3 linked regions of the Ovis aries genome follow. The protein of the gene in region 3 purifies or fractionates together with the protein of the main gene of each other region. This does not show direct contact. Links are inferred from orthologs where the notes say so. Each region holds a gene or a part of one and is shown on either strand. Other genes may lie near its edges. The genes, in order: GADD45A, GADD45B and MAP3K4.

Region 1 (10,067 bases), on a different chromosome or scaffold from region 3:
AAATCTCAAAGAATAAAATTGAACCCATATAGTTGAAAATTGAGGAAACAATGATTTTATAAGGGTTATAGCAAGGCGTCTCAAAACATGCTTTGACAACACTTCCAATTAACAATATACAAAACAGCTCTTTCCTAGCCATGACACTTTCTTCATTTGGGAAATAAAATATGCATTATGGGAGATTACTTACCTTCATGAGTCCTTTCATTATAGAAATTTAATTTACTGAGGGTCTTGACGAACTACAGGAGGGAGGAGTCAATACCATTTATGACACTGAGGTAAAGTTGCCAGTGGGAAAAGTAGGTATTTTCCACAAACAACACACCTTAGAAAGAGGAGGGGACTTCTGTCCCCGCTGTAACATTTCCACTTACTTGTAATAAGCAGGGTTAATAGCATTTAAAGCAACAACTGAAAAATACTAGCAACATTTAGAGGCAGAATCTGCCCTGGTAATTGCATACTTGTTTACAATTAACTCAATTGTTTCAGAGTGGATTTTTCAACGCCTGTTACTTTTGTGTTATGTTCAATCAGGAAGGAATAACAACTGTTAATACTTAAAAACTGAGACTTCAAAATCCCGTGAATTGTTGGGATTTTTCTGAAAGCAAACAACCTCAAGGATGCACACTACCACTTTCATCTCTCAGCACTAAGAGTACACATGCAAGACACTTCTCTTTGAATACGTATATCGCGTTATAAGCAACAGATTTTTCTGATGCCTTGGAAGTTTTCCTATTGCCATCGCTCCAGTTTTAGTAGTAGACACACTGTATTGACACCTATCAGGTGCCAGGTAGATTGCATTCATTATTTGTAAATCAGAGTCAGACACAGTGAGTGACTAAGAACATACATAAGCCGCTCCTCCCCACTCTGCCTTCCGAGTTTAATTTACTCATCTCTGCAGGAGGGTCTTTAATCAAGTAGTTTTGGGAAAGAATTGGAAGTATTTTTACTTAATGGGACGGAAAAAAAATCTGTTTAAAACTCTCTGCTTTCCATCTTCTGATAATGTAAAAAACAACTATTAAATAGCAGTTACATTTTGGATCAGGCACTAGCTTAAATAAGATACAAGCCTAAACAAGGACTACAACTCCACATTTCTGGTAGATGTGGAAAAACAGAAACTTAATTGCAAGGTGAAGGGCTCATGTGCCTATGTTATTCCTAAGATATGCAGAAACTTGGTGCTTTTTGTAACTCTTAGCTGGCATTTCTCTCCTCTGATTTCTACTTTTTCCTGATTGTATGTAGTCATGACAAGGGTGGGAGACAGATGGCCCAGGAGCCATGGGGTGTTGTGGGGGAGGGTATGGTTTGAGAAGTAGGCAAAGAAAAATCCCGAGTACCAAAGCTATATTAGGCCTCTCCTCAGTAGGCATTTTTGCTTTCTTTGGCTGGATGTCCAAAAGATTGTTGCAGTTAATTATCAAGTGACTGTTCCAAGTAAAAGATGACTGTTCTGCTAAAGCCTTTCATTTCTTTTGCTCTTTTTTTCCCTCTCCCATCTAATTTAGACAAACCCCTCAGAACCATAGCACACACATTCAGCTGAAAGGCACACAGCTCTAGAAAGAGAAAAATGGCACCAAAATCTTCAGCAAGCCACTCCCTGTTTCCTGAATGTGCTTCTGCAAAATGCACAGCCTTGGACGGTTGCGGTCACTTTCCAATTGGCCTTCTCACCTGTGGCAGCTTATCCAATAACCCGTCTTTCAGTGCCCAGCGTTATCTTCCTGAAACACTGATCACGTCACTCCCTGCGTGAAGGCGTCTGCAGACGGGCCAAAGTTTACAGAAGAAAGCCCAAATGCTAAGGGTGACATGGAATGCCATTCCCAGTCTGGGCCTAATCCCACCTACCTTTCAGCCTTATCTCTCCCTTATCTTTCTACGCCAGAGGCACACACGGAATCACTCTTGGTTCCCTGAACAGGTTTTGGTCTTTCAGGCCTCCACACCTTCCCAGAAACTAGTGCTGCTGCTAGCAATATCCTTTTCCTGTTTTAAGATCCAAACAAAATGATCTCTTCCCAGGAAAAACTTCACTGGTCTTGCAGGTAGGTCTTTGGTGACTCCCTCCCCTCTGCTTCTATAACATGTTGCATATAATATTAGAGCACTTGTTATCATTTAACTGTATCCGTTTTGCAACTGTAATTTCCCGCACCACTTTTCCCTAATTCCAACCCAACTTCTAAATCACCTTTGTTTTTCTGACTTTTGGCGTAGGGTAGAGCAAGGCATCACTAAAATGCCCACTAAATAAATAAAAACCAATATCATGCCATGTTCAGCCCAAATGTTTTGAGTAGAAAAATATTTTATATACATACATACACACACATCTATATATACAGATGCACATATACTATATATACATGATTTCACATGGGTTTTAATTTTTCCATATTGAAAAAGAAAACTTGTTTAAAATAAAGTACAAGTTAAAGAAACAAAAGTACACATTAAGAAATGATGCAATTATTCCATACCAGTTTATTGTAGATATTGTGTTTCCAAAAATTTATAGCATAAATAACTTTTCATGTCATAAAATAACTTAGTACAATTTATAATAAAACTTTGAGAATTTAACATCTCATCAAAATACAATAAAATATGGTTTTAAAATATGATTAACCCTTTTTTTTTTTTAACTTGAGGGCATAAAAACCAAAATTACCCAAACTATGGCTGCACATTTAAACTTTAACAAAGCATATTGGGTTTATTTAAATGTAACTCAACCATCCTAAATTAATACATAGTTTTGTTTTCCTTCCTGCATGGTTCTTTGTAATTTCTGTTCCTTTTGACTTGTATTTCTGTTTCCACACAGCTTCCTTCTTCATTTTCACCTCTTTCCATCTGCAAAGTCATCTATCTCCGGGCTCCCAGAACATGTAGTTGAACTCACTCAGCCCCTTGACATCAGTTTCTGTAATCCTTGCATCAGTGTAGGGAGTAACTGCTTGAGTAACTACAAAGGTATTTCAAAACTTCAGTGCAATTTGCTTCAGTTATTTTCATTCAGATGCCATCACCGTTCAGGGAGATTAATCACTGGAACCCACTGATCCATGTAGCGACTTTCCCGGCAAAAACAAATAAGTTGACTTAAGGCAGGATCCTTCCACTGTGATGAATGCGGATTCTGGGAACAAATTTAGAGAAAACAAAATTACTATTTTTTAAAAAATCAGACTTTGCTACTAATTACAATACTTCTGAGGGGAAGACGCTTGAACATTCTATACTTTGGCAGTGTTACAGACCACTTAAAACCATTAAAAAATTTTTTCCAGGTAGTTGGGTTTCCTGCAAAATCATTAAGGGTAATTCTCTACAAAGCTATACTCTGCAAAGTCTGAACACATGCAACTAACTGAGTCATATATATGTTTTCATATTTATTCAGTTTTTACCTGAGAGTATTATTCATAGGCTTGTCCTACCAAACTTGTACCTTGGTGGACACCTGAGAAATACTTCAGTGCTGGGCTACCAGGAGTTTAGAGCTGCAGAGCAGTTAACTAAAACTGCCACCTGTTATCCTCCCAAAAGAGAGAGTAGTATTTTTCAGGAGTAGCAAAATAATGAGGCTGCCACTTAAGGAGATCAAACTGTTCCAAAATGTAAAACACAAAACAATCACATTTATCTCTGTAAATACAAGTTATCTACCTTTCAAAGGTTTTTAAGGGGGCATGGGGGCATTTAAAAAACTTCAAGACCACAAAGAAAAAATTTCCACTCTATCCTCTTAATGTATTTCTAGGGAATTAATGAGGTCTGTCTCCTACACCATTTCTATTTTTAGCTCTGACTGGCAGAGAATGAAGCTGACTCCTTAATGAGGGTGAGCCAGGAATTTATTTGGCTTTATCTAATCTGCCCTGCTAAAGGAATTAGTCACGGGAGGTAGTGCAGATGTAGGTAGGGAGTAGCTGGACTGACAATGCTGAGTCACAAGGATCTCTTCCGCTTCTGGCAGCCTCCAACGTGCTTAGACACGTTCTGTCCCAGAGAAAATCCCCATGATGAAACTAGCACATCTCGGCTGAAAGTCCAGCCACACGCTTTAATGGGGCAAAGGCTCCCGTCTCTTAACCCTCGCCCATTTCAGATCTGGAGTCAGGCGACTCTCAGCACTCACGAACTTCCTGCCAGGACTCTAACCTCGAGCTGCCCGCAAGTCCCCTTCTCCCTTACCGTCACCAGCACGCAGTGCAGGTCCGGGGGCTGCTCTGCGCCCTCGCTGGCTGCGGGGCCCGCATCGGTCTCCAGGAGCAAGAGTTCGGCCAGCCGGCCCGGGTTGCTGACACGCAGGATGTCGATATCATTCTCGCAGCAGAATGCCTGGATCAGGGTGAAGTGGATCTGCAGAGCCACGTCCCTGTCGTCGTCCTCGTCCGCCGCCAGCAGGCACAGCACCACGTTATCCGGGTCGCTGCGGGCAGGGAACGAACGGGCTGGTGAGCCCAAAGGCAAGCCCCGCCGCGTGGCAGCCTGCACCCCCCGCCCAGGTGTCAGGGGTCGCGCCCGGGTCCGCTCACTCCCCCTGGGACAAGTAGCCACGGGACAGATGGCACGCGGCAGGAAGTGGCGCTGCAGGGCGAGGGGAGACCAGTGAAAGCGACCTTCTCTGGCTAGGGCGAACAGGAGAACCAAGAGGGTCACGCGAGGGCTCCACTTACACGTTGAGCAGCTTGGCCGCCTCGTACACCCCGACGGTGATGGTGCGCTGACTCAGGGCTTTGCTGAGCACTTCCTCGAGGGCATCCCCCACCTTATCCATCCTACACGCGGGAAGAAGCAAGGGGATCCCGTCACACTAAGCCCCTCCGGGTAGTCGCCGCCTCCTCGCCCTGCACCGCGACCCTCCCAACCGAGGGCACGCGCAATAGCGCCCCTCGACCTTTTGCAAACCAGGACTCCCTGGGATATCATCCCCTTCCCCCCATAACCCTTACGCCCAGAGGCCCGGCATCCTGTGAGCAGCCCCGAGAGTGACATCCGCCACCCTTTCCCTAGTGCTCTACTAGTCCTTGGCGCTGGGTGCAGCCACAGGCTGTCGGCCGCAAGAGCTGCACGGGCAGGGACGGTCACGTCTGCCGTTTGCAAAGCCTCGAGGGGCTCGACCGGCGTGCGGGGTACGCTCTTCCCGTCCACGCGCGCCTCCGGAGTGTTCCAGAGGAAGAAAGGCGGGATAGGAGGTACCCGCTGCAAACTTTGAACCACTCGCTCCCCATTAACCTTGCATAGCCCAGCAGCACCGGAGTGCGCGCAGGAGGCAAGCAGAGTTCTGGCAGAGGCTCTGGCCGACTTACCTTTCGGTCTTTTGCTCTCCAGCCGAGAATTCCTCCAAAGTCATATTGCAACTGCAGGTCGCCCACAGAGAGAGAGCGGCGTGCGAGCTGCTCCTGCCACCGGCGGCGCGCGGGCGCCTGCTTTCCACACTCCCCTGCAGGCTCCTCCAGCGCCCGCCACCACCGCGCCGTCCGCCCCTCCCGCCCCGCTCGCTCGCTTGCTCGTTAGTCGGCTCTCAGCAGCCCACTCGCCGCTAACCACGACACTAACTCCACAGCTGCCCCACAGCCACTGAAGGACAAAGGCCCCGCTCCCAGGAGTTATCCTGCCAACCCCCAGCCAACCACCATCCTCTTCATTTGCATACGCGCAGCCATTGGGCTATGCAAATCAGCCTGTTCAGACAATTTGACCTCAGCTCCAGGAACCAGGCGGAGAGGAGCGGAAGAGGGAGGGGCCAGGAGGAAAAAGAGCCTAGGGGGCGCGGGCGGGCGGGGTTCCGAGCCTACTCTCACCCGGTAGGCGGGGCGGGTAGGAGCGGAGATCTTCGTAGGGGGGCGGGGAAAGGAGGGTGTCTTCAGCTTGGGCTGGAGCTGGCTGCCAAGTGTTTTTCTTGCTGGTGCGCTTTTTTTTTTTTAATTGTCGTTTCAAGTCTTTTGTTTTGGGGGGCTGCTATTAACATCTATTTTCAGGGTTAATGCACCCAAGTCTAGTAATTATTAGTACGCAGGTTATATAAAAAGAGTGTATCCAGACTTCTGGGGCAAAGTTTACCTCAGAAGTGTTGTTTATGTAAGTCTAAGCAAAGCTGCTTATTAGTAGTAGTATTATTTCGGTGCCCTGATGGCTGGTTTGATTTATTTTTGGAAACTTGCAAGGGTTGGAAGCTCAAAAAAGAAAAATCAACACATTTGTGTTTGGTGGTGGCAGGAAACCAAGTTGGAATCTTTTATGCAGAAAGCAGAAAGACTTCCCACCTGCCCAGGGTAACTGTGGAAAACTGAGTTCAGGAGGAGCTGGTTACTACATGTATAACCATTTTATCCTAGCCTCACAACCCCAATTCACCTTTCTCAGCCTTTCCCAAAGGAGGATCCTTCTGCAGGGCACCAGCTAAGAGACAAAAGTCTGACACCCACACAAGGCACACATCTAAACTCAAAATGCTCTGGATATGCCCTCAGCTTCCTTTCATAAGGCAAGTATGTCACTACCTTCCACAGGGGGCCTATGATCTCACTGTGAATTATTGATGTTAGTTGCTGAATCATGAAGTTGCCGCTATAGGTCCTTTTAGTCATAGGCTAAAATTTCACCTTTGAGATAATGGCAATCTGTGGGTGGAAAGAAAGTAGTAGTTCTACATTTTTGAAAAACAAAATTGAATGTAGAGTTTGAATCGGTTGAAAGTTCTTTGTATCATGAGTTTATGCAATAAATGCAAAAATATGTGTTAAACCTACTGAAGTCACCAAAAGTGGTAAAAAAAGAAAAAAAAATACTCCCATATGCTTGCTTTCAAAACAATGCTTGCATTTTTAAGGTCACTGTACAGACAAAGGTCACAGAAGTAATTTTCTGCTAAGTTACAAGGGAGTTTTTGTACCCGTATGTTCATATCATTCTAGACAAAATATTCTTCAGCTTTCTTGATCTTAATTTAGAGGAAAAGAAAAGTGATAGGTCAGGTTTTCTGGCTCATTTATTTGAGCTGCCATTTTGCACTTCATCTCTTAACTGCATTGTCAGCAAGGGACAAGTTTTGACTAAAGGAATGGTGCTGGTCTGTGGGTCATTTACCCAGAAATGTATGTTTCATATCCATACCTTAAATTCTAACATGTAGCGTCTTTTAAAGAATTCCTTTAAATTGGAATTTAGGTAGGTGCTGAAGCATTTTCAGTTTTGCAAACAAAACCTGAATTATGCAATCTGGCCTGAGTCATCATTTGGAGACTGTTGAACTCTGTTCTGTGGAACTCCAAGGTTCTACTCACTAGGTATTTCTTAGAGGTTCCTTGGAAGAAGTATGATCACTGTAAACTGACAGCAAATTAGGAAATCGAGTGAGTTTCTTGACAGCAGGGAGTGTGACTTCATCAACGTGGTATTCTTGGCACCTACCACAATTTCTGCATTTGGTGGAAGCATGGCCAGTGTTCACTGAGTTAAGTAGAATCTGAATTGAACAATAAGATCTCAGAATACTGCAGTCCTGTGCAATGCATGAATTCTAAGATATTCCACATTTAATTTTAGTTCAAAAAAACTTTTTTGCTGTCCTACAATATACCAAGAACTGTACAATTCCTGGCCCTCTGCCTTTAAAGGGCTTACCATCTAATTATTATGCCCATGCTTGAACTGGGTTTGGGGACAAAATACTATGCACTGTCATCAGCCAGCTATGCTGAAAGTCCCATGACTTTAGTCATCTGAACGGAAACTGTAGGACAGTAGAACCCATGTATTGTTATTCCAATTCAAGTGAACCACAGCCCTGATAATACCCCACCAAGGTCAATTATAATAAGTAAAAATGTGGTATAAAAAGATTACTTCTTAATATAGGCCCAGTTTCTCACTCAACAAGTACACTGCATTCTTTATTTGATTTCAAGGGAAAGTGATTTGTTCAAGTGCTATGGGGTTGTTCTCTGTGAGATAAGCCTAGCCTTCCAGTATTCAAAAATATTCATCTGTCATACTTTCTGACTCAGATATGTTACACCATTTTGCCTCATTGCTGAGTCTGCCTAGACTGTTTCATCACTGATTATTTTGGTGTTTCACACTGGAAGTAGGAGCTGCATTTGTCTGCCACTAGATTGCAGTTATATATTAGGATGCATTTAGATGATACTGTTCATAAATGCTTATTTGTCCCTGGGGAGGATGGTATCCAATGATAAATTACAGGAATAGCCCTAGATAGGTACATATGTGTATATATACATTTTTCATATATTCTAAAAATAATCTGTATTAAAATATAATTCCAATATATATAATCATTTAAAAAATTATCCCAGGTAATTCCAAGTACTTCAACTGCACAGAACTGAATGACCTTCTGGTAATATTTATAATGATGCTAAATGGTTATATTTGGATGTTAGATAAAAATAAATTTATATTCAGGAGTTGTCAAATAATTTTAGCACTGCTGCCTGCTTTACATCTTAAAAGTCTTTTTTATTTTTTTCATTATTATCATACATATATTCTTACTACTGGTTCTGTAGTATAGAATGATAAATTTTCTCTCTTTCAAAAATTCATCAACCCTTTAACATCTGAAGGAAATATGATGCGTATTATTTCAGTACTAGACATATTATTCTTCACATTGAAGGATATCAATTAGTCTATGACAGATGTATTAACTATTAATACTTATCTAGAACTGTATTATATTACATTTTGTTGTTAAAAATCCTAAGGTTCCTGAAGTATTTTTTTGTATAAGTCTGGTAAAGTTAGTTTCTAAAGTCAGGCTCTCAATTTCCCTCAATTTTTTTCTCAAAGAAGACTGTTCAGACAATTTACACCTAAAAATGTATAATTTCATAAGATCAATATTTCCATTTGAATTTAACATAAACGTTTAGTTTCTTGGACCATCTGTAGGCAAATTCTGAGATGGCCTCAATGATCTCTAACCCCAATGTTAACCTTTGTATAAGCCTTTTCCTTTGCGTGTGGGTAGAACCCATTTCTTGTTTCGAACCAATAGAATATGTGTTGAGCTATCACACCCATGATTATGTTATATTCTATGACAAAGGTGAAAGTACTTTGCTAGTATAAGTATTTAGTTGACTTTGGGTTAATCAGGAGGAAGTTTGACTGTAAACTGATACAGTCACTATGGAGAACAGTAAAAAGCTAAAAATAGAGCTACCATATCATCCAACAACCCCCCTCCTAGGCATCTATCTGGAGAAAAACTTGGTTCAAAAGTATATATGCATCCCAGTGTTCACTGTAGCACTGTTGCAATAGCAAAGACATGTGGTAGTTGCTCAGTCCTGTTCAACTCTGTGACCCCATGGACTGTAGCATGCCACGCTCCTCTGTCCATGGGATTTTCTAGGCAAAAGTACTGGAGTGGGTTGCCATTTCCTTCTCCAGGGGATCTTCCCAACCCAGGGATTGAACCCGGGTCTCCTGCATTTCAAGCATATTCTTTACCACCTGAGCCACCAGGAAAGCCCTGAAGTTCAGATGAATGGATAAAGAAGACGTGGTACATATATACAATGTAATATTACTCAGCCATTAAAAAAAGAGTGAAATAATGCCATTTGCAGCCACTTGGAGGGACCTGGAGATTATTATACTAGGAGAAGTAAGTCAGACAGAGAAAGACAAAGATCATATGATATCACTTATACACAGAATATAAAAAAATGATACAAATGAACTTATCTACAAAAGAGAAACAGACTCACAGACTTAGAAAATGAACTTATGGTTACCAGGGGTAAGGTTGGTAGAAGGGATTAGACTGAGAGTTTGGGGTTTCTGTGTACACACTGACATATTAAGAATAGATAACCAACAAGGATCTACAGTATAGCCCAAGGAACTCTGCTCACTATTCTGTGATAACCTAAATGGGAAAAGTATTTGAAGAAGAACAAAAAAATAAATAAATAAAAAGGGAGATTATGCTAGGTGGGCCTAACCTAATCACGTGAACCCTTTAGAAGAGAGCTCAACCTTCTCTGAAG
Region 2 (9,971 bases), on a different chromosome or scaffold from region 3:
GTTTCAGAGAGGGATCTTGACTCACAGGGAGACTGAGAGGCAGAGGCCCAGCACAGGTAGAAAGAATCAGATAAATAGTCACATACCAACCAGCTCTCCTGGAAGTCTCTCCCGGCTGCTCTAAATGCCTTGCATATTTTCACTCATGTAATGCTCACGACGCCCCAGAGATGGGCACTCCTATTCATGTGCCCATTGTACAGATAAGGAAACTGAGCCCAAAGCGGAGAAGCAATTTCCCCAAGGGCGTGGCCTCCACAGTGTTCCAGCTTCCCTGATGAGGTAGTGTCACTGTGTCTGGCTAGGCCCCAGCCCTTGGCAGGTCAGTGTGTGTGTTCTTTAGGGACAAAACAGTCTGTCCTAGGTCACCCAGATGACCGATGGGTCAATCTCTGGTTATTCATGTGTCCAGATTTGGCCTTGAATCTTCATGCCAGGAGCACTGAGGGTACCACAAGGGGTTTGGCCATGAGGGGCCTGGTGGGGGTGGAGGGAGGAGAGAGGTGAGAAAAACACAGATGGTAAAGAATCTGCCCATAATGCAGGAGACCCGGGTTTGATCCCTGGGTGGGGAAGATCCCTTGGAGGAGGAAATGGCAACCCACTCCAGTATTCTTGCCTGGAGAATTCCACGGACAGAGGAGCCTGGCGGGCTACAGTCCATGGGATCACAGTGTTGGACATGACTAAGTGACTAACACACACACCCAGCCCAGTTGAATCTGAAGCCTAACCCAGGAGACAGTTAAGGCACAGGGCGGGTGGCAGGATGAAGTGTCCTTCCAAACCCTCCAAGACAGGGGTGAGGTAGGGGAAGCAGATGGAGCCAGGAGATAGGCTATCGGGGTCCTGCCTGCCTGGAGGGCTTCCCTGAGGAGGAGGCAGGTGAGGTGAGGACAAGGGGGTGTGTGGGTGTTAGCTTGCAGAAAGGGAAGGACAAAGGGTTCTGGGCAGAGGTTAGAGGGCCAGGTGTGCAAGCAGCCACTGGACCTAGGGTGGGTGTGCAATGACGCAGGCCAGGGGTGGGGTGGGACGCCTCTGCAGATTCTGGGCTTCAGGGAGGTGCTAGTGCTGCTGGGGTCCCAGGGACACAGGGCAGGCAATACAAGTTCAAACTTTGGCAGGGACACACACCCTGCAAAACGGATGAGTCCCCAGATACAATGCAGGTGAGAAAAGTAAGACACAGAAGGCCGTAGAACATGTGATTCCATTTCTACGAAACGTCCAGAACAAGGAAATCCAGAGATAAAAGAGTGGATTCGTGATTGTCAGGTCTGGAGGAGGATGGAGATGACAGCTAATGTGTGTGCGAGTGTGGGTACCCTGAGAGGAGCGTGCACCCCAGTCAGGCATGTACCCACCTGAGAAAGAGTGCTGGCCTGTACCCTCTGGCTCCTGGAACACAGCCCTCAGCAGTGGCAGCCTCAGCGAGGGGGTACCTGCAGTAGTGGCCAAGCCTTGGTGACCTATGGCCACTCCACCCTGAAATCTGGTGGGGGCAGGAGTGTATTGGGGAGCAACCTGCCCGATCCCTGTACCCCTGGGTTTTTAAGACTCTTGGCCAAGCCCGGGCTCCTCCACTCTGGGCCTCAGGCTTCTCTTCTGGAAGATGGAACAACAGTATCGTCCTCAGTGGACAGTGGTCAAGTTTAAGGGTGTTTGCATGCAGAGAAGACTGAATCAACGAGCTGCTGTTAACTCCGCGGAACAGCCTTTGGGTTCCGGGTTCCGTCAGGAAGACTCAATGGTTTTTTTAACGACAGCAGGAGCAATAGTAGTAATAATAATGGGAGAACTAGTGTGAGAAAGTAAGAGCCATGACCTCGAACGTTCCCGTGCTCGCGCAGTGGCAGCCGAGTTCAAAGCCTCGGTTCGCCTCTCCTCGGTCACGCCCATGTGAAAAGCCACGCCCCCTACGAGCCTTTGGTACTTCGCCTGCAAAGAGCCAAATATCCGAAGTTTAAATCAAACCGGGTCAGGAACGCTGCACGGGGAGAAGCAGAGGGACAAATCAGCTAATCCTCTCATGATTTACAGGTTTTGGTCCCCAAGGGATTTTCTCTCTCTCTTTTAATGTTTGCATCCGAGTTAAAAATACATGGCTTGAAAATATTCTTTATCTTGCCGACTGAGTTTTTGGGCGCTTGCTGCCTTAACTTTTGCACGGAAAGTGTGTGCCGCTCGCCTCACCCTAGTCTCGGCTCTGCTAATTCACAGGATGGCTGCGCGAGGATTAAAGGAGACGATTCTGGAAATGCAGGGAACATAACAACAGTGCTGATAACAGCCCTCGTCGTAATAATGGGTAATCCTTTTAATACATTTTGTGTCAGGGAAGCTAATCTGAGGAATATATATTTCGTTTAACCTCAGCAATTTATGAGGCAGGCAGGTAGCATTATTATTCCCCCTTTTCAGAAAGGGAAACTTTAAAGGCACAGAGAAGTTAAGGTACCAGCTCAGGGTCACAAAGCTGAGGTCCTACCCATGCCCTGTGTCTCCCTGGAGCCCAGGGGCCTGGGATCGTGTCCCCACTGCACAGGAGACTTAGGGAGGAGAGGGTCAGAGGCCATACGGCCCTTCTGTGTGGCCAAGGTCAGGACGGGGACAGAGCGGCCCACACCCACGGGCGGAGCCAGCGGGAGCTTTCCCACAAGCTGACCCGACTGGGGGATCTCCAGGTCAGCTCTGGGACAATGAACCCCCCCCTCCTTAGCTCTTCCGCATCGCGCCGCGCCCCGCCCCCACTCTGAGGTCTCGGCCTCTGCCCCCTCTCCCGTCTCTGGGCCCTATCTCAGGGATCCTTCTCCTCATCCCCCCCTCACCCCTTCACAGGCCACCTCCATCACGCGGGCCTTCAGTCCCTTCACCTCCCAACTTCAGCAGGAACCCCCTCCCCTCTCCCCTCGGACTGTCGGCTCCTCCTCCCCCCGCTCGAGTCTTCTCTCTCACTTCGCGCCCCCACCCACTACAGGGATTCCTTGGCCCTTCTCCCCCTCCCGCTCTGGGTGCCCCCTCGCCCCACACCCCTTTCTCTTCAAATTCCCACCTCTACCCCCCAGGGCTCCGGTCTCTCCACTTACAGAACCTCCCCTCCCCCAACCCCCTACAGGGATTCTTTTCAACCCCCCTTAGGCCCGTTGGACCCCCCTCCTCTCCCGTAGGCTACCCACCGCAGCCCTCTTGTTCTGCCTCCTCGAGAGCCGGGTATCTCCTCTTAGCACCTCCCTTCCCCCACCCCCTACTGGGATTCCGCCCCCTCCCCTGTGCTGGGTGGGGGTGTCCTTACTCCCTCAGGGCTGCTTATCTCCCTCCGGGCTGCTTAGGCGTCTCCTCTACCCCCCAGATCTCCCCTCCAGGAGGGATCCCCGCCCCGCCCCCACCTCCCTCTCTGGGACTTCCCCTTGCTCTTTTCGCTCCCCCATCCTCCCCCGGCGGGGCTCCCCCCAGCCCCGTGACTCCCCCGGGGCCGCCGGGGTTTTCCTCGCGCGCCCACGTGGGGCTCCGTGGAAAGGTCGCGCGGCCTGGGCTGGTCCCCGGGTCGGGTCGCCCCCCCCCCACCTGGTTCCCAGGCCCGAGGTGCAGGGCTGAGGGGAGGGGATGTTGCGCAGGTGTCGCGAGCCCACACCGCAGGCTCCGGGCAGGAAGACTGAAGCCGGAGTTCCAGCCGGGCTGCGCTCCTAACCGCCCCCCACCCCCGCCGCAGGGGGTCACCCACTTGAGACTTTGATAGAACAAGGAGGTGGACGGCCAGGCCTCACAGTTTCGATTTAGAGGCAAAGCGTAGCCGCGTGCCAAGCCCAGCTGGGCCGGGAGCACGACTTCCTCGGGTATTTTGCTGCTTGTTGATTTAAGTTTGAGGAATGAAAAAAAATTTTTTTTCTTCAGTGGAGTGAAGAGGCCCATCCTAGGATGGAGCAGGCTTGGGTGGGGGGGTGCCCTCTGGGAGATCCTCAAAGTTCTTCCTGCTAGGCCCTAGCTCAGGGGCAGCTCTGAGCTCCAAGCCCACCTCGCTGTGTGGTCACAGGTGGCCCCTTGACCTCTCTGGAGCTGCGCTGCGGTGGCGGCTGAATAGGCAGGGGCTGCAGCCAGCCCCCCAGGGGTGCGTCTTCATGTGCCCAGAACCTGGGGTTGGCTCCAGCACCGCCAGTAACAGCAGCCACACGGCGGCCAGGTTTCGTAATAAACCGGTCTTTTAATTGCTACGGGGCAGGACGGGGGGAGAAGAAAAAAAAGAGGCAAAGATTTGTTGGACTTGGGTGGCGCCGGCTGCAGAGAGAAGAGGCACTGTTTTTGCAAGGAGCCTGGAGCGGCTAACTCGGACTTAAGTAACACTTCCTGGTGAGCCTGCAGGAGGGGGTGCAGGGGCACACTGCTGGGGTGGGAGGGCGTAGTGGGGGCTGGTCCCTCACAGGGACTGCAAATACACAAGAACCCAGAAGCTTTAAAAATTTATTACAAGGCATCATAGTAGAAGTAAAAATATATGTATCTGTAAGCTTCCCCTCTGTCTTTCAGTGGTTCAAGTAACAAGTGCAAGTAACAAAATAGATTGTCAATATACTGAGTTTGCAAGCTGGGAGTTCATGGGTACAGAGCAACATGAGCCCCTGCTCCCAAGTCCCAAAGTTATTGTCCGGGCCGGGCTGCCGACCCTAGGCCAACCAAGGCCCGTTTTTTTGCAGATGTCAGCTCGGGTCTCAAGAAGGGTGGGGGCTGCAGTCGTCAGTCCCACCCCACCCCCGAAGTGTGGAGCCCAGGCCCTCCTTGGTAGGGGAAGCAAGCAGCTCCCTGGCTCCTGCGTCTGCTCTGTCACCAGGCCTGAGCTCCCGGGTCCCCTCTCCTGCTGGCCCGGGTCCTGTCTTCTCCTCACACCGTGGCCGCCGCTGGCCCCCGGCTCCAAGCTTCCCGCCCTGGGGCGGCCGCGCACTCCCTCTCCTGTCTTCAGTCTCCAGCGATCCTGCCCCCGATGGTCTCACGGGTTGGGTTGTTGGGGGGGTTGTTCTGGGAGGGAGGGGGGGTCAAATATTTATGTGGTTTTGTGTTTTCGGCAGCAAGAGTTTCCGATGCCCGGCGGGGTCTCAGCGCTCCTGGAGGGAGATGTAGGGAACCCACTGGTTGTTCCCCCTACTTTCTTCGCAGTAACTGGCCACCTCCACCAGGCCGTGGCTTTTCCAGGTGTCTGTATGAGGGTTCTGTGGGAGGGCGAGAAGAGGGGGTTCAGCAGGAGCCCCAAGGAGTGGGTGGGGAGTGTCCCTCTCCCAGGGCTCCCATGGGGAAAACAGGCTGGCTCAAAATAACTCGCTAGGTGAAGAGGCCTGGAGGCTAGCAGGTTGCCCACGGGACATGCCAAGCGTGGCTGAACGCTGAGCTGGTGCACACCGGCCAGCTCCACTTTGTTGACAAACACGGGCCCAGGTGCCGGGTGGGGGTGGGGCAGGGCGGAGCCCCAGTTTGCTCACCGTGACCAGGAGACAGTGCAGGTCCCGGGCCTCGGTGGTGCCCTGGGTCTCGGCCGGCTCGCCCAGCAGCTGCGCCAGGCGCTGCATCCCCGACACCCGCACGATGTCGATGTCGTTGTCGCAGCAGAAGGACTGAATAAGCGTAAAGTGGATCTGCAGGGCGATGTCGTCCTCCTCTTCCTCGTCGATGGCCAGGAGGCACAGGACCACGCTATCAGGATCCCTGAGGGGCCAGAGGGGGATGGGTGGGTCAGCTGGGGACTCGGAAGGGCCCCCCTTCTCGTGCGGCGGGGAGTTTGCAAAAGCAGAGAGCAACTGCAGGTGTGCAGGGGATGGCATCTGCAAGCAGATGCTGGGGTGGGGGAGAAGACGCTCGGTTCAAAGGCCGGGCGTGGGTGGGGGGTAAGTCAGGGACATAAACAGGCGACTGTTTGCAAGTGATGTAGCCCCAGCATACTGCAGCCTCCACGCCTCAAAAAAAAAAAAAAGGGCAGAAAGATCCCCAATCCACAATGGGGACACTTGGGGGTGTCCCAGACCCATGCAAGACAGGAGTGCAGGAGGGAGATTGCAGAGCGGAGAGGGTCCCCACCCGCGCCCAGCCGGGAGACAGAGTCTGACTCACACATTCATCAGCTTGGCCGACTCGTACACCCCCACGGTGAGGCGGTCCTGGCGCTGCGCGGCCACCAGCAACTCCTCCACCGCGGCGCTCACCGTCTGCATCCTGGGGCCAAGGGAGAGCGGAGGTCAGCATCAGGCCAGGCACGGGGCGCCCCTTCCCCACCCGGCCCAGCCTGACCTCAGGTGGCAGGGGCGCCACTACTTACTTTTGCGCCGCGTTGTCGCACGCCACGAGCTCTTCCAGTGTCATGTTGCAGTTATAATCCACAGTGGAAAACAGCCTCACGACAGGTTCAAGGAAGAAAATGCAATATCCAAGGCTGGAAAGCCCAAAGCCTTCCCACGGAGACCAAGCGTTCGTCAAGACCTTAGGAAGGCAGCGAAATCCACCCCCAAAAAAGGCGGAAAAAATTGCAAGTGTCTCAGCAAGAATAATCCAAGTAGCAACTGCAAAAGATCCGAGTGCTCGGCGTCAGCGATCTGAGCTTGCGGCGGCAGGCACAGCCTTTTATAGACTAAGAGGTTAGGGGGCGAGGCCCCAGTGACCCGTTCGCCCCTCCGATTGGACAAAACACAAAGGCGAGAGAAATTCGCGCTGCGGTTGGTCGGCGGCGGGGAGGGGGCGGGGCGCCGCGCGGGGGTGCCCCACGTGGGGGCGAGAGCCGGGAGGAGGGCGCCGGGAGGGTGGGGGTGGAGCCGGGGGGAACTTGAGTGCCAGAAAAGAGAAAAAAAAGCAGAAGTTTTCTCTTATTTCCCGGCAGCCGCGCCGCGTTTCGGGGCGCGCGCGGGATTTCCAGCGCGCGAGGCGGCCCAGACTTTCGAGGGGGGGGGCCTGGAATCCCCTCCCGGTCCCCGGAGAGTCCCCGGCCCGAGTCTTTCCAGGTTCTGCAGCAGTTTTACACCGAGAGGGAGCCCAGTCTGCAGCCCGATCCCTAGGTGGTGGGGGGGGGGGGGGGGGGTAGCCCCAGGCTGCAGAGACCCCAGCCCCTGGGTGACTTTACTTTCTGGGCGTTTCTGCCCTTATCTGTCTAATGGGAATGCAAAGTTGGCCTCATTAGATTGCAGAGTCCTAAATAAAGTGAGGGATGCACAGTAAGCGCCTAGCACGCGGTGGTGGTCGCAGGAGGCCGCCTAGATCCCCCAAATTGCAGGCTGCGAAAGCGGCCTCAGAGTTCCCACCCGTCCTATGACAATGCGCACCGGCCTCACTGGGTTGCAGGAAACATTAACTAATAAGTGGAGTACACAAGAGACACTTGATAAATATCGCCTGGTAGTCTGGGAGGTCGCCTCGAGTTCCCCAGAACCAGGGGCTGCAGAGCCCAGGGCCGAGACCCGGTGCCCCCTCTCCAACCCCGCGAGTTTCAGGGTGGGGCGCGCGTGGGAGGCGCAGGTGGCTAGGCCTCGCAGGCTCCACGCCCCCTGCAGGCGCCTGGCATTGCAAGGTTTGACTGCCCCTGCTCACAGCGGCTCTGTTGGGGGAAATCCAGCCCGAGAGAGGGCGAAGGGAGCCGGTTCATCTGTGAGCCACGCGCTGCCACCTTTGCGCGCTTACTGTGATGGTGGCCGCTTTTATTCCCTCCGGAGTGGGCGCTGAATGTATGGAGCGCGCGCTTGGCCCCAGGTTCTCCGTATCACGGTTCATTGAATCCCCAAGAACCCGGGAAGCATGGGCTATGCTTATCTGCAGGATGCAAAAGGGTAAACTGAGGTTTGGTGGGGCCTCCACTAATTCAAGGCCCCAGTTAGCTGGTGCTGGAGTTACACGTGTGCGCCAGGCGCGGCCGCGCGCTCGGACAGCCGCCAACCACGCCATCTCCCTGGGAAAGCAGTTCACGAGCCAGGCGGGCAGGCCCGCGTGGGACTAGCTCCCACGGTCGATCGGGGGCTCCCGTATGACTCAGCTGCACCCCCACCCCCGCCAGCCTGGGGTCTGGCCTCGGCCTTAAGGCTAGATTCCCCCAGCTCCCCGGCCTGCGGTCCCGCTGACGCATCGCGCCGCCTCCGCGCCGCCCACCATGGGGGCGCGAAATGTCCCGGGCGCTGCGAGGCGCGGCGGCGCCACCTGGTGTCCACGCGAGGTCCCTGCGCCCGAAGTTCCGGAAGGGACCAACCGGCGGGGGCGGAGTGTAGAGGAGGTGAAACACCCGGAAGGGGTAACAAATGCAATACTTTATACACACATACACATATATATGCAACATGTATTAACAACTTTATAGATTTAATTTTTAAATCAAACTACTGCCTAGGCTACTGTGGTTTTTTTTTTTAATGGTAAAATATGCACGATATTTATCATTTCGATATTTGTAAGTATACCAGTCGGTGGCATGATATACATGCACAGTGCTGGGTAACAATCACCGTGATCTAGACCGAAATCTTTTCTATCATCCCCGGAGTAAACTCTTGGGAATGGAACACGAACTACCCCCATCTCCTGACACCCACCATTGACTTTTTGTCTCTATGAATTTGATCCTTTAGGGACCTCATATAAATCGAGTCATACTGTATTCGTCCTTTGAGTCTGGCTTACTTAACTGAACGTAATATCCTCAAGACTCATCCACAGTTGTTCATTCATGTGTGTGTCACAATTGCCTTCTTTTTGAGGCTGAATAATATTAGACTGTATAGATGGACCACATTTAGTTCATTCATCTGTTGATGGGCACATGGGTTGTTTCTACCATTTGGCTATTGTGCACCCCATTTTTTGTCAACAAAGTTTTATTGGGACCAAGGGCAGGGGTATAGAGTAAGGGAATCGAGGTACTCACCTCAGGCACAAATTTTAAAGGAATGCCATAAAACTCAGTCATCAGTATAACATTATAGGGACTTGCCTAGCAGTCCAGTGGTTAGGACTCTGTGCTTCCACTGCCAGGGAGAGACAGGTTTGATCCCTGGTCTGGGAACTAAGATCCTGCAAGCCACATGGTGAGGCCAAAAGAAAAAAAAAGATAAACAATATCTTAATATAATATTCTTAACCAAAATCTATGCCCCAAGATCCCCATCCATGATGAACAAAAATCAAGGTTTTAAAACAAGCATTATCTGACAGGGTCGGGGGTAGAGGGCAGGGAGGTGAGTTGTTCACTTGCAAGTTTAAATCCTGACTTTATTTCCAATTTTGATCTTTTCTTCATGATGATTTTTTTTTTGCATTGATTTTTATTTTTGAAAATGTTACATTAAAGTATTTGTCTTGGGACGTCCCTGGCAGTCCTGTGGTTAAGACTCTGTGTTTCCAATGCAGAGGGCATGAGTTTGATACCTGGCCAGGGAATGAAGATCCCACGTGCCATGGGGCATGGCCAAAAGAGGGAAAATAAATAAATGAAATATTTATCTTGATGATTGAGCTTCGGGCACCCTCTTAAATTTTTCTCCTAAGGTTGGTGCAGCCATGAAAATGTCCCTGTCTGCTCTAGAAGAGGTGACCCTGTCCTCCGAGGGGGAAACCCACACCCTCCTCCTGGAGAACCTGTGAGTTGGGGACTTCCCTAGTCAGAAAATTGAGCATATATCCACATTCACCTTGCAAATGAGATTCCCTTGTCTCTAGAACTGATAAATGTAAGTGCTTTAAAATTTAAATTTACATTGCATTCAAGGCACACATAAGAGGACTACCTGGTGGTCCAGCAGTTAGGACTCTGTGCTTCCACTGCCGGGGCATGGGTTTGATCCCTGGTCAGGGAACTAAGATCCCACATGCAGTGGCCAAAATGAACCACGTCGATATGCATAAGAGCAAACTTTTCTTGAGGATTTATTACATGCTAATTTTCATTCCAATCCCAAAGAAAGGCAATGCCAAAGAATGCTCAAACTACCGCACAATTGCACTCATCTCACATGCTACCAAAG
Region 3 (9,365 bases):
TCAACACACACAAATATAATGACCCTTTCCCAACTGGGACTCCAGATGTGCTGTGACACAGGATTTCCCAGCGCTGCTTAAGTCTGGATGTTGGTCAAAACGCAATTTGGTGATGTACTCTCTGCTCTTTCTCTTTTCCTTTAACGTTAGCATATTGAAAGTAAGCTAGATAACTCTCTAATGAATATCTGTATCATTTATTTGTATATAACGAGCAGCTTATTTTATTAACAAATCCTTTGAACCTGAGATGAAAAGTGAAAGCTTTCGGCAAAACGTTAATTAGTGAGCGCTGTGAGCAGGATTTGTGAGACCAAATGCCACTCTTTAAGAAAATAGAGATTAAGCTTGATGAAGTTTTTATTCCCAGATGGGATGATTCACGTTATTGCTCGTTAGCTAGTGAATGGGATGTATTCACTGGATTATGTGAGAATTGGAACCTTAAGTTAAAGCAGGCCAAATTTTTAGAGGGCTTCCCTGGTAGCTCAGCTGGTACAGAATCTGCCTGCAATGCAGGAGACCCTGGTTCGATTCCTGGGTGGGGAAGATTCACTGAAGAAGGGATACGCTACCCACTCCAGTATTCTTGGGCTTCCCTTGTGGTTCAGCTGGTAAAGAATCCACCTGCAATGCAGGAGACCCTGGTTTGATTCCTGGGCTGGGAAGATCCCCTGGAGAAGGGAAAGGCTGCCCACTCCAGTATTCTGGCCTGGAGAATTCCATGGACTGTATAGTCCATGGGGTCGCAAAGAGTCGGACATGGCTGAGCAGCTTTCACTTTCACTACTCAAGCGAGTCCCCTATACTCTATTCCAAAATATTCTTCCAAAATCTTTGATGACTCTCTGGGGCTTAGAATATGAAATTCAGAATCTCCCAACAGTCTGATTTTTGCCCACCTGACTTTCTACCAGCCGCATCCCCCACTCTTTCCCACTGTATATACCAGGATCCAACCAAACTAGATGGATCCTCTGTGAGTGTTCCCATGACCCTGATCCATGGATGCCACGCCCCAGTGTTTCTCTCACTGGTCCCTTCCCAACCTACACCTTCAGAAACCCTCCCCAGCTGCAGTGCCTCCACAGCTGCTACTGGGAGGACCTGGTCTCCCGTCCTCTCTGCTGCAGTGTGACAGGTCAGGTCCTTAAGGCTACAAACTTTTCAAGCTCACGAACAATCAACATCCTATACAATTCTGTACTCTCCAGAATTCATTAACTCAAACTAAAAGAAAAAACAAAAGTCCCCTGCCCTGGTATTAGAATGGGGTGACAATCTATAAAGGGGCCTTCCCTGGTAGCTCAGTAGGTAAAGAATCTGCCTGCAATGTGGGAGACCTGGGTTTAATCCCTGGGTTGGGAAGATCCCCTGGAGAAAGGAACAGCTACCCACTACTATTCTAGCCTGGAGAATTCTATGGACTGTATAGTCCACGGGGTCGCAAAGAGTCAGACACGACTGAGCGACTTTTACTTCACAATCTATAAGGGAGAATGTTTACAGCTAAACAAGGCAAATCAGACTGGCAGAACAAAAACAAGCGTTTATCAAACTCCTTGTGATTTTAAGTGCTTCTTCAGGAAGCAAAGCCGTGATGTGACAGAAAACTGATGGCTTGTGGGACAGTGATGAATGGAGTACCAAATAAAAAGTAGGGGGAAACAGGAATAAAAGGCAAGGCTCTAGCTTGTCATGAACTCTGAAGGTCTTTCTGCCTGTCCACAAGCCACAGCTGGTTTTCTCTATTATAATCAATTTGACTGAATCATCTATTAAGTGAAACAATAAATCTTTTTTTTGTAAATTACACATTTTTGACTGACAGTACCTCTAGTAAACACTGGTAACTGCTAAAGGAGAAAGAAACTGGGTTAGGAAGGAAGAGACCTAAGGTCCAATACTAACCAAACATGTGACCTTAAGAAGTCACACAACTATTTAAATTTTCACCCTTTCCAATTCCAATGTTCCACAGTTCCAAGGAAGATGCAGGGAAAATTCTAACTTAGACACGAGACACGGGAAACGTGGGAAGAGACAGAGAATGGGGAGGACAATTGAAGAGTTCAGGTCCCTGGAATACTTAGGTTATAGCACACCAACTCTTCCCTTGCATTGCACCAAATGCAAATAAAGCATAGTGAAGACTGAGGTGACGATGGAATACCTTCAGCTGCTGCAAAGCTCTGGCGATGACGGGCTGACTGGAAGTCTGCTCCTGGCGTAGCGTCATGAGTCCTTCGATGGACTGCTGGAAAGCTTTTCTATGGATTATGAGCTGCGCGGAGTGCATGACAACTAGTAAAAGATTGTCCACCTGGGAAGAAAAGCGAGCACAGGGCTTAAACGCAGACCCAGTTGGCTGTCCACTCTAGTTCAACCCCCAGTCTCAAAGCACCACCGACCCCAGGGCCCCCCGGCCAGCAAGCACTGGATGAGAAAGCGCATTGTTGGACTACAGCTGCTCCCCTGGAGCACTGCAGCGGGCACCAGTGGCTAGACTCTCCAGCACAGCGGGGAGAAACCCCACGGGATGGTGTGGGCAGGCAGTGTCTGGAGTATGCTAGAACTCCAAGACACAATCCTCCTGGAGCGGGGACTGAGAGTGTGTGTCTGCACCGGAGCAGCGTGTGAGGATGAAAATGCGGGAGTAAGAATGGGAGGAGACGAGGGGCCTTCTATAAAACAGAAACCAAGACTGTATTACTTGCATTCTTTAAGTGACGGTCACCACCGTATTCTGAGTAGACATGTGATGAGATGTATGAATTGTAAGGATCACTCTGGAAGTACCAAAACGAGCACCGGATGAGAGGGAGGAAAGGTGAGGCTTGAAGCAGGGAAACTAGAAGTGAGGCCCTGCCACAGGAAAGGGGCGATCAGCTCCGACCCAGGAGCGGGCCCAGGGATGCAGAGGAAGGCTCCCTGACTGGAAAGGCTTCGGGGCGGGGGGAGCTGTTTAAGTGGAGGGAGGTGGGGGCTGGACGTTTATGAACAGCCACATCCTGGCTTAAACACCAGAGTGGACAGAGTGCCAGTCACTGAGACAGGGAGTACGCAAGAACAGGCGGGCTCCTGGCGCTGGGGGCAGGCGGCTGGGCTGTCCAGCTGAGTTCGAGGTGCGGGTGCGCACTCACTGCCACTCCAGAGCTGAGCACAGAGGTGGGAGGAGGCTTCTTACAGGTTGTGTGTGTTTGTTACCTGGAGCAGAATTCCTGTACAATGCTGGACGGCATGCTTCCGCTGCTCAACAGTGTGAACAGCTACATGTACGCACACACCCCCTCCCTCCGGGACCTCCGTGCCCTCATCCCACCCTCTAGGCCATCACGGAGCACCGAGCTGAGCTCCCTGGGCTACACAGGAGCTCCCCACTAGCTGTCTGTCCTATACACGGAAGAGTATGTATATCAGTGCAAGGCTCTCTGAACACAGCGGCTGCACAGCAGCACCCCACTAGCTGTCTGTCCTACACACGGAAGAGTATGTATATCAGTGCAAGGCTCTCTGAACACAGCAGCTACACAGCAGCTCCCCACTAGCTGTCTGTCTTACACACGGTTGAGTATGCATATCAGTGCTACGCTCTCTGAACACAGCGGCCTGAGCGGCTTCTTACAGTCTTAGTTACTGAGGCATACAGACTGTCAGAGGATCACTGCCAGGTAGGCAGCTGACAAGCTGACTACGCAGAAGAAGGGAGTCAAGTAGCCGGTGACAAGGTAAAAAGTTTGTCTTGTTTATAGAGTGATTAGCCGCGAAATCAACACTTGGAGAGCTGAGATGTCTGCAACGACAAACTAAATGAGGGACACAATTCCTTCCGGGTCACGAGTGGGTGCCTCTAACTGATGGACGTGGCTGAAGCGAGGAAAGACATAAAACATTTCAAATACTTCAGTACAACTAAAGAATCTCCCAGAATATTTTAGGACAGTAAGGAAATAAACTCGTCAAAACAGCAAAGTCCAAGCAGTACATGTTTCTGGGGCTTCCCCAGGGGCTCAGGGGTAAAGGATCTGCCTGCATTGCAGGAGACCTGGCTTCAGTCTCTGGATTGGGAAGATCCCTTGGAGAAGGGAATGGAAACCCAATCCAGTATTCTGGCCTGGAAAATCCTGTGGACAGAGGAGCCTGGGGGACTACAGTCCACGGAGTCAAAAAGAGTCTGGGACATGACTGAGCGAATTAAACAACAACAATGGTAACAATAACAACACTGCCTCCAGGCAGGGCAGGGAACGGACCTGCATGCTTCTCAGGGTGTCAACCGTCTCCACCGCAGGCACGATCTTGACAGGCTGCGCCTCCCAGGCGGCCCAGCCGTCCTCGGAGTCTGGAGTGCGGTCACATTTGGTCAAGAGTAGATAGTCGTCAATTAGTGCCTCGTCTGAGTCTTTGGAGCAGTCCTTCCCTGCAGCTGCGTTGAGTAACTGCAAAATAATGCTCTTCTCCTCAGCAAGAGCGTCTGGAACAAACACCTGCAAGTTTTCTAAGCCAGGAATTTGTACCTGGAAGAGAAACGATCCAAAATCCTGAATTAAAGAGCACCATCTATTACAGAAATGTTACTGCGCATGCTTCGGGTTCCTCATCTACATCCTTAACACGAGTTAGTAAGCACGGAGAGCTCGGCTTCTCTAGTTACAGTATCAGGAAATTATGGGTCAGTCTTAACATGGGGGTCCACATATCGACTGTGAAGCCCAAAACGTTTACTACCTACATCTTTAAGACAAATTTCTGTCTAGAGTAAGAAAGGTAAAATAATTCTACCGCCTTAACTACGCACCTTAACGTACTGCTTTGCTTTCAGAACGTCCAGAAGGTCTCTAACTGGGGCTGAAAGTATGAACTCTGCAGCTATTTCCAGGTCCTAGGATCACAGTTACAGAGAAACTTCTTTAGGGTTAGCTTTTTAAAAAATAAACAGACTTTGATGGAAAACAAGAAAATTCTGTAAATAATTACCCTTCAATTAAAAAATTAATTAATTTAAAAAATAAGATAAAAGGAAAAAAATAAGTAACAGCTCATCAGGACTGTGAATGCACCTTTCTCAGCATCTTGGCAAACCCCAGCGCCTTGGAGGCTCGTTCCCTGGCCTCGTGGAAGAGCTCCTTCAGTGCTCGGCTGACCTCTATAACCGACCTCCTGCCAGGCGGACAGAAACCCAGTTAGAATGCATGAGGGAACACCAAGAAATACACAATAAAGACAGAGCAGATTCCAACTCACGTTAATAAAGACTAAAAATTTTAGAAACAAGCAATTATTACGAATGCACTCGAAATATGCTGTAGCTTGCTCCCACAGTTTTCTGGAGAGTACTTGCAGATATCAGGTACACTGAGCAACCGTCAAAGGGCAGTGCACTCCATTTCCTGAAAGTTTCACTCAGTTCAGCTCAGTCGTGTCCAACTCTGCGTGACCCCATGGACTGCAGCACGCCGCCAGGCCTCCCTGTCCATCACCAACTCCCGGAGTTTACTCAAACTCATGTCTGTCGAGTTGGTGATGCCATCCAGCCATCTCATCCTCTGTCGTCCCCTTCTCCTCCCACCTTCAATCTTTCCCAGCATCACGGTCTTTTCCAATGAGTCAGCTCTTCGAATCAGGTGGCCAAAGTATTGGAGTTTCAGCTTTAGCATCAGTCCTTCCAATGAACACCCAGGACTGATCGATCTCCTTTAGGATGGATTGGTTGGATCTCCTTGCAGTCCAAGGGACTCTCAAGAGTCTTCTCCAACACCACAGTTCAAAATTAACAATTCTTTGGTGCTCAGCTTTCTTTATAGTCCAACTCTCACATCCATACATGACTACTGGAAAAACCACAGCTTTGACTAGATGGACCTTTGCTGGCATTTCATTAGGATTTCATTAGAATACATAAAATACTTTTGCCACCTGATGCAATTGAGAGCTGACTCACTGGAAAAGACCCTGATGCTAAGAAAGACTGAGAGGAGAAGGGGATGACAGAGGATGAGATAGTTGTATGGCATCACCGATTCAATGGACATGAATTTGAGCAAATTCCGGGAGATAGTTAAGGACAGGGAAGCCTGGCGTGCTGCAGTCCATGGGGTCGCAAAGAGTCAGACACGACTTAGCGACTGGACAACAACATCAGGATAACTCTTGGAGTAGGAATTAGGCTCTTGACTCTCGGCTCATAATCTAACTAAAAAGGAGCAGTGAACCAGGGAATATTTAACACCAGCTCCCCCTAAACTATTATCTTGTGTGGTGCTTGCCAATTTTCTTGGTGTGGATACACCTATCACAGAGGTTTTCAATCCACCAAAAGGACATCACTGAGCTGTGACTTGGGGGTGTGCACGACCCACAGGGGTGCCCTGGAGCCAGGACAGCCAGCCCCACACATCACTGTGTGTGAACCCCCTTTCTCGATCCACCCCCAGTAAACGATCAAAGCACTGTAAGAGCCATCCTCTGCTTCACCACCCCAATGACTGAACTCGCTTATTCTGAGTCTACCATGTCAGCGCCCAAAACGGCAAGACCTTCTATGAACTGATTCATTCCATTTCTCAATAATTCAGCATTTTCCCAGGTGAGAGCCTATGTAGTGACTTCTTTCTTTAATCCTGGTATAAAGAGATTCCGGTGTTATGAAACCCCAAAATGTGTTTTCTATCAAATGCTGGAAGGTGAGAGAAAACACCTCTAGAGAAGTTAGTTCCGCCTTAGCACTTCCTAATGTTGACTCACAGGGTACTGTTGATAACTGGCCACAAAATAGCTCTGAGTGGCACATAAGCCACAAAAACAGCACTTTAACATGGCTCACCCTCAATACTGTGTGCACACAACTGAAGGAAACACAGATGAACCAGTCACGGTTTCTCCTACTCAAGCTTAAAGTTCAACAGAAGGGGTAAGGTGAGTGTGAAAACAACAAAAATGCACCAAACGTCAGTTAATGTATTCATGGACTACTGCAGAGGCTTTAAAGGACAGAAACTAGTTAACTAAAGACAGTCCGGAACATGCGAATGAATTCTACCCTAGCAGTTCTTAGTCAACTGAAACTACATCGTCTCTAAGGATTAGCTTAAATAACAGTCACCTCCAAGGACAATTTCACATAAAACCATAACTAAGAGATCACACGAAAAGATGATACAGCAGTCACACACAAATCCCTTTAGATCTACAACCCACATTCTTCGAGTCCAACATGATTTGGCCTCAACAAGGGGCATATTATAGGCTCACTGCCAAGGGTAAAACTACATAAGATCAGAAATGGGAGAGGAAAGGAAATCAGCCCCAACCTTATTTCATCTGAAGCACTGCTGTCGTCGGCACTGTTCCAGAATTCTGTACAGCTCTCCTGTAAGCCAGCTTCTAGAAAGCTTCCTGTCGATTTCAGCAGCATTCCTGCAATGTCACTAAGGGAACAGAAGCAACAGACGTAAACCAGAGAAGAAAAACCGTCCCCCCTCAGTCTAACTCTGGAATGAGAAACTGAAAGATTGAGCTGGTATGTCGACAGTTCAAAATCAATGACAGTGACACTTCTCCTTTAACATAAAATCACGATTAACATGAAAAAAAGCAGAAATCGCGATCGTGGAATGTATCTACCTTTGTTCTACTACCAGTTTTCCATTATAAACCTTAAAATCTTAAATTACATTCACAGTAGCTATGTCATTACCACAGGCTACTTTCATCTTAAATGTTCAAAATGGTATAAAGTGGGCTCAAATATGTATCTATGACAAAATATTTTTAAAGGCTCAATAAACTAAATGATAGCATAAGAAACAAAGTGAATTCCTTAAATGCAGTTGCTTTTAAAAACTTCCATCACAATTTTCATAGTCAATGAACATGAACTACTATAATCACTGATGCTTCTCATCAAGTATACACTCTAAATACTAGGGTTAAAAATGCAAACCCAAATGTATAAAGCAAATCTAAATGAGTCCAGCGAAAATTCAGCAGCAGCCTACTGACTTCTATGATGAGAGGAGCTTGGAGCCTAGTGAAACAGAGCAGTAAGCCCACAGCCAGCATCAGATGGGGCAGAAGGTAACTACCAGGGCAGCTCTCTGAGGGCGCGGGCTCAACAGGCCCTGCAGGTAGGAACTAGAACAGCAGAGGGCAGCGGGGTTCTGTCAGGAGGAGCACGGACCAGGAGGAGGGGGAGGGCAAGTCGAGGAAGAACAGGAAGGATGATCGAAGCGCACGAGGGTGTGTTAAGCAGGAGGCGGGTCCGTGAAGAGAAGCTGCCAAGCTGGAAAGAGCAGAGCAGAGGGGAGTGAGACCAGGACGGTAACCCAGCCGTGCCAGGGGAGGCCTCGGACGTCCAGCGACTGTGTGATCGTGCTCTGGTAGGCAGAGAGGGTGGGCTGTAACAGGGACCAAGTGGGAGAACGGCCTGACTAAAAACGTGCCTGTAAAGGGCAGTAGTGTACAAGGACATTCAGGATAAGTTATTCAGCAACTAATCAGTATCTGTTATGGAGTAATGAGCAGCAAACAGAAGAGATAAAACTTCTTCAGTACATGGAGGGGAAAAAGAAGCAACAAATCAAACAAAAAAGAAGACTACAGAGTACTTCAACTATTGACAAGTGCTCTGGAGAGGAAAAATTAAGGAAGAACACTGAGGTGCTCTTGCAGGAGTTTCAACTTTAAACGTGGAGAAGATAACATCTGGCCAAAGACCTGCAGGAAGCGGGGAAGTAAGTCGTAGGAAACAGCCCGAGCACAGGGATGGGCAAGCGCAAAGAGCCTGAGGCAGGCGCAGGCCGGGCCTACGAAGAAAAGGCAGGAAGGCACTGCGGCCGCAGAGGACGCGCAGGAGAGCCCAGGAAAGGAGGATACGGAGCTCGTGAAAAGTCAGACTGTGCCTGGTCTCACGGGCCACTGATTAGGTGCTCTTACTCAAGCACGGAGAACCACTGGCGTATTTTTGAACAGAGGTAAAAATGGTCTGCAAGGAGATCAAATCAGTCCATCCTAAAGGAAATCAATTCTGAATATTCACTGGAAGGACTGATGTTGAAGCTGAAGCTCCAATACTCTGACCACCTGATGTGAAGGGCATACTCATTGGAAAAGACCCTGATGCCTGGAAAGAGAGAAGGCAGGAGGAGAAGGGGACGACATAGGATGAGATGGTTGGATGGCATCACCAACTCGATGGATGTGAGTTTGAGCAAACTCCGGGAGATGGTGAAGGACAGGGAAGCCTGGCGTGCTGCAGTCCGTAGGGTCACAAAGAGTCAGACACGACTGGGCAACTGAACAACAGTAACAAAAAATTGTCTGATGTCCAGTTTAACAGGATCACTGAGAATAAATCTTAGAGGATG

What was found.
Region 1: the proteins of MAP3K4 (region 3) and GADD45A purify together in Homo sapiens (co-immunoprecipitation; 3 studies listed by BioGRID and IntAct, with this or other methods). This does not show direct contact. The link is inferred for Ovis aries from reciprocal best matches to the Homo sapiens genes MAP3K4 and GADD45A.
Region 2: the proteins of MAP3K4 (region 3) and GADD45B purify together in Homo sapiens (co-immunoprecipitation; 3 studies listed by BioGRID and IntAct, counting the BioPlex papers as one, with this or other methods). This does not show direct contact. The link is inferred for Ovis aries from reciprocal best matches to the Homo sapiens genes MAP3K4 and GADD45B.

The regions. Positions count from the first base shown.
Region 1 is NC_056054.1:43,320,408-43,330,474, reverse strand, and holds GADD45A (growth arrest and DNA damage-inducible protein GADD45 alpha), read right to left. Parts: upstream 5,625-10,067; 5' UTR 5,396-5,624; coding exon 5,352-5,395; intron 4,821-5,351; coding exon 4,719-4,820; intron 4,472-4,718; coding exon 4,234-4,471; intron 3,176-4,233; coding exon 3,062-3,175; 3' UTR 2,498-3,061; downstream 1-2,497. UniProt on the Homo sapiens protein: In T-cells, functions as a regulator of p38 MAPKs by inhibiting p88 phosphorylation and activity.
Region 2 is NC_056058.1:18,905,567-18,915,537, forward strand, and holds GADD45B (growth arrest and DNA damage-inducible protein GADD45 beta), read right to left. Parts: upstream 6,572-9,971; 5' UTR 6,340-6,571; coding exon 6,296-6,339; intron 6,193-6,295; coding exon 6,091-6,192; intron 5,689-6,090; coding exon 5,466-5,688; intron 5,199-5,465; coding exon 5,085-5,198; 3' UTR 4,442-5,084; downstream 1-4,441.
Region 3 is NC_056061.1:84,488,019-84,497,383, reverse strand, and holds part of MAP3K4 (mitogen-activated protein kinase kinase kinase 4), read right to left. Parts: intron 7,428-9,365; coding exon 7,311-7,427; intron 5,161-7,310; coding exon 5,061-5,160; intron 4,883-5,060; coding exon 4,799-4,882; intron 4,518-4,798; coding exon 4,254-4,517; intron 2,324-4,253; coding exon 2,174-2,323; intron 1-2,173. UniProt on the Homo sapiens protein: Component of a protein kinase signal transduction cascade. Activates the CSBP2, P38 and JNK MAPK pathways, but not the ERK pathway. Specifically phosphorylates and activates MAP2K4 and MAP2K6.